2 linked regions of the Canis lupus familiaris genome follow. Each later gene encodes a partner of the first gene's protein in a complex. Links are inferred from orthologs where the notes say so. Each region holds a gene or a part of one and is shown on either strand. Other genes may lie near its edges.

The links. Proteins that work in one complex are often made in the same cells at the same time.
Region 2: EIF3J (region 1) and EIF3M share a complex: the UniProt entries of both Homo sapiens proteins name them as parts of the eukaryotic translation initiation factor 3 (eIF-3) complex. The link is inferred for Canis lupus familiaris from reciprocal best matches to the Homo sapiens genes EIF3J and EIF3M.

Annotation. Positions count from the first base shown.
Region 1 is NC_049251.1:11,510,420-11,514,002, forward strand, and holds part of EIF3J (eukaryotic translation initiation factor 3 subunit J), read left to right. Parts: intron 1-2,463; coding exon 2,464-2,578; intron 2,579-3,583. UniProt on the Homo sapiens protein: Component of the eukaryotic translation initiation factor 3 (eIF-3) complex, which is required for several steps in the initiation of protein synthesis.
Region 2 is NC_049239.1:35,364,078-35,368,415, reverse strand, and holds the start of EIF3M (eukaryotic translation initiation factor 3 subunit M), read left to right. Parts: upstream 1-1,482; 5' UTR 1,483-1,598; coding exon 1,599-1,640; intron 1,641-1,830; exon of another isoform or gene 1,831-2,013; intron 2,014-4,308; coding exon 4,309-4,338. UniProt on the Homo sapiens protein: Component of the eukaryotic translation initiation factor 3 (eIF-3) complex, which is required for several steps in the initiation of protein synthesis.

The sequences.
Region 1 (3,583 bases):
ACACAGGCAGAGGGAGAAGCAGGCTCCCTGTGGGGAGCCCGATGCGGACCTTGGTCCCAGGACTCCAGGATCATGCCCTGAGCCGAAGGCAGATGCTCAACCACTGAGCCACCCAGGCATCCCATGTGGGTCATTTCTAATGGGTGTAGTCATATATGCAGGATAAATTCCCAGGCGAGATATTGCTGGATGAAAAGGCAAATCATATTTGTGGTCTTGATAAATGTTCACAAAATGCCCTCTGTATGGGGTTGTAACCAGTTTGCATTTGCCAACAATGTATGAAAGTGCCCGTTTCCTCCAGTCGGGAACATTTTAGATACTTTTTAATAATTTATATTTGTGTATCTAAAAATAGCTACATGTGTTTCTTTTTTTTTAATTTTTTTTTTTCATTTATTTATGATAGTCACAGAGAGAGAGAGAGAGAGAGGCAGAGACACAGGCAGAGGGAGAAGCAGGCTCCATGCACCGGGAGCCCGATGTGGGATTCAATCCCGGGTCTCCAGGATTGCGCCCTGGGCCAAAGGCAGGCGCCAAACCGCTGCGCCACCCAGGGATCCCTACATGTGTGTTTCTATGATCAGGACAAGCAATAGGATCTTATAGCTCAGTCTAAGAAGCCATCTTGATTAGATTTTTCTTGGTCATTGAAGTTGAAATTTATACTGCTTTTGTTGTGTCTTGGTATTAGTCTCCAGTGTAAAGAAACCTTAGTTTGATAGTGTATTCAGTATATTCACTTTTGATGCAGGAGATACTTCATGATGTCCAGATCTGCTAAGATGGTTAAGTCAAGATATTTCCCTTTTTCAAGAAAGTATTCTGATATTTCTTTAACTTGGCATAATGACGTTTCTCATTTCATCTTCTCCATGAGAAACAGAATGCTATGTATTACAGAACTAGACTTCTGAATTAGAATTTGCAAACTGCATAGACATGGATGATCACAAATGGCACAAGCTTCCTTTACTTTTTTCCCCACTTCAGTAAATACTGTCACAGACTTTCCCTTATAGTAAAATAATGCGTTTGTTATAGGAAATATCACAGTATAAAGATGTTAACAGTCATCTGAGAGGAGTAGGACTGGGAAATAAGTGACAACTTCCATGGTATGTGTTTAAATTTGTTAACAAATAACAATGTGTTACTTTTGTAATAGTAACAAATATAAAAAGATAAGTTCTTTTTATGATTCTTTGGAGAAAGACATTTTTTTTATGTCTACATAGTATAGCTGACTTTTGAACAATATTGAGGGTTAAGGTGCTGACTCCTTGCACAGTCAAAAAAATCCACATACAAATTTGACTCCCCCGAAACTTAACTACTGATAGCGTACTCTTTTTTTAAAATTTTATTTATTTATTCCTGAGAAAGAGAGAGAGAGGCAGAGACACAGGGAGGGACAGGCTCTATGCAGGGAGCCTGATGTGGGACTCGATCCCTGGTCTCCAGGATCAGGCCCTGGACTGAAGCGGCGCTAAACCACTGAGCCACCTGGGGTGCATATGATAGTGTATTCTTGATCAGAAGCCTTACTGCTAACATATAAATAGTCAACACATAATTTTGTAGTTGTATTATATACTGTATTCTTCCAATAAAGTAAAAAAGAGGGGGAAAATGTTATTAAATCATAAAGATGGGGAGCCTGGGTGGTACAGCTGGTTAAATGTTGGACTGGACTCTTGGTTTCAGCTCAGGTATGATCTCAGGATCATGAGATCCAGCCGCGTGCTGGGCTCCATGCTGAGTGCGGAGTGTACTTCAGATCTATCTCCCTTTCTCCCTCCTGCTTATTATTTCTTTCAAATAAATCTTATTGAAAAAAAAATCTGTGAATAAGTAGACCCATGTAGTTCAAACTTATGTTATTTGAGGATCATCTGTGTTGTCATATTTAACCATTCTGTTGAAATTTGGGTTGTCTCTAAATGTATTTGAAATTATAAGTAATACTCCATTGGACACCCTTGTGGCTAAATGTTTGTATGCATCTTTGGTTTCTTATGGTAAATAACTAGAAGTGGAATTCTTTGATTCCATATAAAAGTATTTTAAGACTCATACATCTTACTAAGTTGCCCTAGAAAGGTTATTTCAAAATATAGTCTTTAGTAGCAGATATGAGTGTACAGGTTTTCCCTTTTCTATAATGTCAGTTCCATCTTTTATTTTATTTTTTATTTTTTAAAGTTTATTTATTCATGAGAGACACAGAGAGAGAGGCAGAGACACAGGCAGAGGGAGAAGCAGGCTCCTTGCAGGGAGCCCGATATGGGACTCGATCCCAGAACCCTGGGATCACGCCCTGATCCAAAGGCAGACACTCAACCACTGACCCATCCAGGCGTCCCTATTTCTATATGTTTAATAAAAATATTAGCAATACAAAAATGTACTGGTCCATCACAATGCCAGATGTTTTAAAACTTCCTTTTTGTCTCATTTTAGTTAGAAGAACCTGAAGAACCTAAAGTGCTAACACCAGAAGAACTATTAGCAGATAAACTGAGGCTAAAGAAATTACAGGAAGAGTCAGACCTTGAATTAGCAAAAGAAACTTTTGGTAAGTGGGCGGGGTTGAGAAGGTGATTGCAGTGAAATATTGAAGTTCCAGGTGAATATGTTACTAGTTGTGAAAGTTTAGAAGACACTTCCTTTTTTGAAATAATACAGTACTGGCTTACTTAGATACTAGAAAGGAGTTTTTAATATTTATATTTGAGATTTCATTGCTTAGAGTGAAAAACGTGCTTAGGGTTTTGAATAATTAGGAGTATCAAGTAAAAAATTATTAAGATAAGTCATTGGACCCAAAATAAGTATACTGCTGCTTTAAATACATTTATCAGCTGGATGAATTGGATGAAATGTGAGACCTGTAGCTTTGAGGTTTAAATATTAGACTGACTTATAAGGCTGTGCCTTTGCTCAGGGTTATTTCTTTGTGACTCTTTTTGGCCTTCTCCATCCCCTGTCATTGGAGGGCTTCTATTTCTATGTGCCATCCCTGCAGCTGTGGTTGGTACGTGATATAAAAGACATGTTCAGGGTCCTATAGATAGGTAAGTTCAGAGTGTTCCAGGGGTAAAGGGTAAATAAAGTAAGAAACATGACCAGAGGAATAGTTTAAAGCTCTCACTTTGTTTAAGCTCATTGTTGTCATTACCTGTTGAGTACTTATCAGAGTAGAAGATCATGTTGAAAGTTTTTTTTTTTTTTTTTTTTTTTTCGGATCATGTTGAAAGTTAAGTAACTTTGAAATTGAAACCTAGAACTAAGAAGGATCTAGGTTATCTTGACTTTCCCCCCCCATCCTTCCTTTTTTTTTTTTTTTAATTTAAATTTTTCTAAAATTCAATTTGCCAACATACAGTATAACACCCAGTGCTCATCCCGTCGAGGCCATCCTTCTTTTTTTAAAATGGATCAAGCGGGCCATAATGATCATTCTCCCTTCTGTGGAAGGTGTGATTTTTCTCTCTGTACGAGTTGCTAGTAATCTAGAGTTGCTGTGATTCTCCTGTGCACTGGTGTGTGCTTGGCATGTCTTAACTGCACTCATCTCATT
Region 2 (4,338 bases), on another chromosome or scaffold:
ACTCCACCACCTTCTCTCACTCTGCCTTCTGTAATAACTTCCGAGCTGGTGTCACTACTTTGACTAGGGCCCAAATTACCTCAAATTGCAATACCCCTGCCAGGGTGATCCTTTGCCAAAAAAAGTTAAGTTTGATCTCTTCACTCTTCTGCTCAAAACATGTCAGAGACTTCCCAATTCATTAGCCGACACAGCCAAAATCCTCGTTTCGGCCTAGGAGACCATGATCTGGCTGGCCATGGCTATTTCATTTTTTTGCTATTCTCTTACTTAGATCCAGCCCACAGGCCTGCTTGCCCCTACCTTGCATCCCTTCCTTGCTGTTCTTAGGATGAAACACTTTCCCACAGGTTTCTTAATTCATACTTTCCTCAATATGAATTGAGCAATTTTTTTCTCTTAAGATTTTATTTACTTATTCATGAGAGACACCACAGAGAGAGGCACAGACACAGGCAGAGGGAGAAGCAACAAGCTCCCTGCAGGGAGGCCCAAAGCAGGACTCAATCCCAGGACCCAGGGATCACGCCCTGAGCCACCCAGACGCCCGAATGGAGCAATTTTCTTCCATCATCTTATGCACACAAACTTATACGCTCTCTGGTTTTCTTTCTTTTTTTTCTAACCCCCTTCCTCTTAGGCTTTTATCTAGTTGGCAGTGCTCACATTTTTTAAGTGCTTTATCTGCTAAATTACTTAACCTCACAGCAACACCGAGGTAAGTACTTAATTATTCTTATTTTTCCAAGAGGAGGCTGAAACACGGATGTTAAGCCATCGCCCTACACCGCACGCCCATCAAAAGGTGCAGGGCGGGGATTCCATCCCTAGGAATTCTAATCCTGAGGCCAGGCTGTCAAAGTCGATGCCCAACAAGGGCTGCCTTTCTCATTACTTGGAGATGTTGGTGTTCCGTGCGCTCGCTGGAATGCAAACTGCAATCCCGAGCTTCTAGTGGAAACTACGGTTATCCCCGGCGCACAGCAAGTCCCCCAATAAACGCGGAAAAATAGGATCAATTTTAGCTCATTAAAAAAATCGTCGAGCTCAAAAAAAAAAAAAAAAAAAAAAAGTACCCCCTGAAGGCTGTTTTTGCACGGTCCAGAGCCAAGGCTCGGTGGCCGGGGGCAGCAACGGAGGCACCAGGCAGCGTGGCCTGGACTGGCTGGCGGGGGCTGCGGGGGTTGCGGGGGCGTGGCTGCAAAGGAACAACTATTTTGAGCACAACTGTTGACCCCGCAAGCTACAGATTTGCGCGGGGAGCTGAGCTAACTGAAGCACAAGACGGGAGCTCAGCGAAGGACGGCAGGCGACACCGTTCCGGACGATGGAAGCGACAGGCGGAGCCAAGACCCGGCGCGGTCGAGGGCGCCCGTGAGGCCCGCCCACGCACGTGCGCCCCGCCCCCAGCGCGAGGTGGGATTGGCCCCCCTGGTCCCGCCCATCTCGGTGGCCACGCCCCGCAAGACGGGCGCGGGGTAACCCGGAAGCGGTAGTGAGGCCGCCCCCCTCCCCCCCGCCCACGCGCGCTGCTGCCGCTCTCTTTCCGGTCGGCGTGGTTTTGCGAGCGGAGCGGTCGCCGCGCCCGGGTCTTCGCCATGAGCGTCCCGGCCTTCATCGACATCAGCGAGGAAGATCAGGTGGGCTCCCGGGCCGCGCGTGCCTCCGGCGGGGGGTGCGGTTAGGGGAGTCTCGAGGCTGTGAGCGGCCGAGCCTGGACCCCGCGAGCCCGCTCCGGGGCTGAGAGGCGCAGCTCACGCCGCCCTCGCGAGAGTAGGGAGGAGGCCGCGAGGCGAGGCGCTAAGGCCTGGCCTGGAGCCGCGTTAGCTCTCGGAGCGTGGGCTCGGGCGCCGGGCCCGCCGAGGTTTCGCGGCCGGCTTCCTGGTTGGCGTCGCTCTTCCAGGCCGTGTCACTCCTGGCGACACTACTTTCTGACTGACTGGGGATGGTGTCTGCTTCCGTCTCCCCAGTGCAGCCACATCCGGAGTGGGAGGTGGCGAATCTCCAGACGACGTAAGCAGTCCCAGGGAAAAATGATTTCGTATGGAAGACGAAGTGGTTTTATTATATGATCCCACAGGCAGGGGTGACCCCCTTTTAAACGAACGAAGGCCCTAGAGTGAGGGTTCTGAAACCTGAAAAACAGAACGTCAGTTTCATCCTCATGCTTTGAGGCATACTCATGTGGTGAACCATCCTAGTATTTTTTTTTTTTTTGCAACTCCAACTAACATAAAAATTTGGTTTCCATAGAAGAAAACACCATTACTATTCGAAGATAACTCTTAGAATTACAGATGTTGATTTTTTTTTTTTTTACCCCCCATGGTAGAAGGGCAGATCCTCAGCCCTGAAGAGTAGAGGAAGAAGGGGAAATGAAAGGGTGGGGGAGGGGATTAGGGGAGGAGATAAGGCTAGGAAAGGAGTTGAGCTCATTGGAAAGGAAAATGTGGAAGACCAGGGAAAAAAGCATATATGGTTATTAATGGAATCATGTTATCAACAAATTGGCTATTAGATTGCCTCAAAAAAGTAATTGATTTATTTTTTAAAAATATTTATTCATGATAGAGAGGCAGAGACACAGGCAGAGGGAGAAGCAGGCTCCATGCAGGGAGCCCAAGGTGGGACCCGAGCCCGGGACCTCAGGATCACTCCCTGGGCCAAAGGCAGGCACCAAACCGCTGAGCCACCCAGTGATCCCCTCAAAAGTATTTGATTTAACATAAAGAAAGAACTTGTAGATGTAGGATGTTCTTGTCGTTGGCCTTATTTTAGTGTCATTTCTAGTTAGGTTATGCTCCTCTTGTAATATATCAGTTTGACACCAGCCATTCCTTTCAGGTGGATACGTGACTGCTTCAAAGTTTAACTTTGGTGAAATTCTGTGTTTGATTAGAGTAGGAAATGGGAGTTCAGAATTTTGTCTTTTCCTTTACTTGTCCTACTCCCACAACCACTTGTAGCCAGTGAAGCTGACCGATACAAACAAACTGTTGATTTAATGGTTTTTTTTTTTTAAGATTTTATTTATTTATTCATGAGAGGGGGAGAGAGAGAGGCAGAGACACAGGCAGAGGGAGAAGCAGGCTCCATGCAGGGAGCCCGATGTGGGACTTGATCCCGGGACTCTAGGATCACACCCTGGGCTGAAGGCAGCGCTAAACCACTGAGCCACCTGGGCTGCCCCGATTTAATGGTTCTTAGAAAAAGTTTGCTTTGTATCTACAAAGCAGAAGCTGAACAAATGCTTTTTTGGACCATATTATGTTTCCTGCATAGAAAAACATGTTCCCAGCAGTGTTTTTATGTTCTGACATGGTGACACTTGTTTCATGAAATCTTGTTTGTAATGCAACTCATAGGTGAAGTTATCTGCAAGGATAGCGCCATCAGGGCTACAGATTTAATGTACTTCTTGTAGGTAGCCAAACGTGTTTGTGGGTTTAGAAAATGTCATACTTGTGCATTTACTAATGGTATCCTTTCATCTCCCTGCTTAAGTTTTTCATATTACTATCTTAAATACCATCTACATTCATGTTTGGCTGCCATAAATACCAAGCCCTCAAAAGAGCACCTTACTAAATATATATATATGCATTAGACTAGAAAATGTCTGAATACCTATGTTCAGACCACAATACCTGTGCTACTGTAGTTATGTTTTTTTAGGTCCAAGGGTGCTTTCTGATCCAGATAGGTATTCTAAAAGACTAATTGCCAAGTAAATCCAATTTGAAAAGTATTGTATTCAAGACAACATTCAAAGGCATTTTTTTTTATCTTTGTGTCCTCCCAAAATGCTTGTCTCAGATAGATTCTCAAACATTTTATTAACAAATAATTACCTTCTTGCCAAGGTAGTAGCAAATGTCTGTAGCTTTTTTAAGTAGCTCTATTATGTACACTTGAGAGCAAAAATATTTCATTTCTTTAAAACCAGTTGAATTTGCTAGGTCAGATTAATTTTCCAGCATACACAGCTCCCTCAGAAACGCTTTGGGATATATTAGAAGCTTTTGCTATGTACTGGAAGTTCAGCAGCATATAGGTGATATGAGAGAAATTCTAAAGGTGATCCATGTGGGCCATAGTGGGTTTCTGTAGTCACTTGGTCTTGTAGAGGAAAACCTGTGGCTTCTGTGGGGTGGTGATGGGGACTCAGGAGGAGAGGTACTTCAGCATGATAATTTAAAGTTGTTGTTAAGTGAAGTATTCTTATTTTTTAAAAAACAATGGTTTGAGATCTTGAATTTTGGCATTGTCCATTTTATAGATGTATAGCAATCTTATTTGATTCAACAGGCTGCTGAGCTTCGAGCTTATCTGAAATCT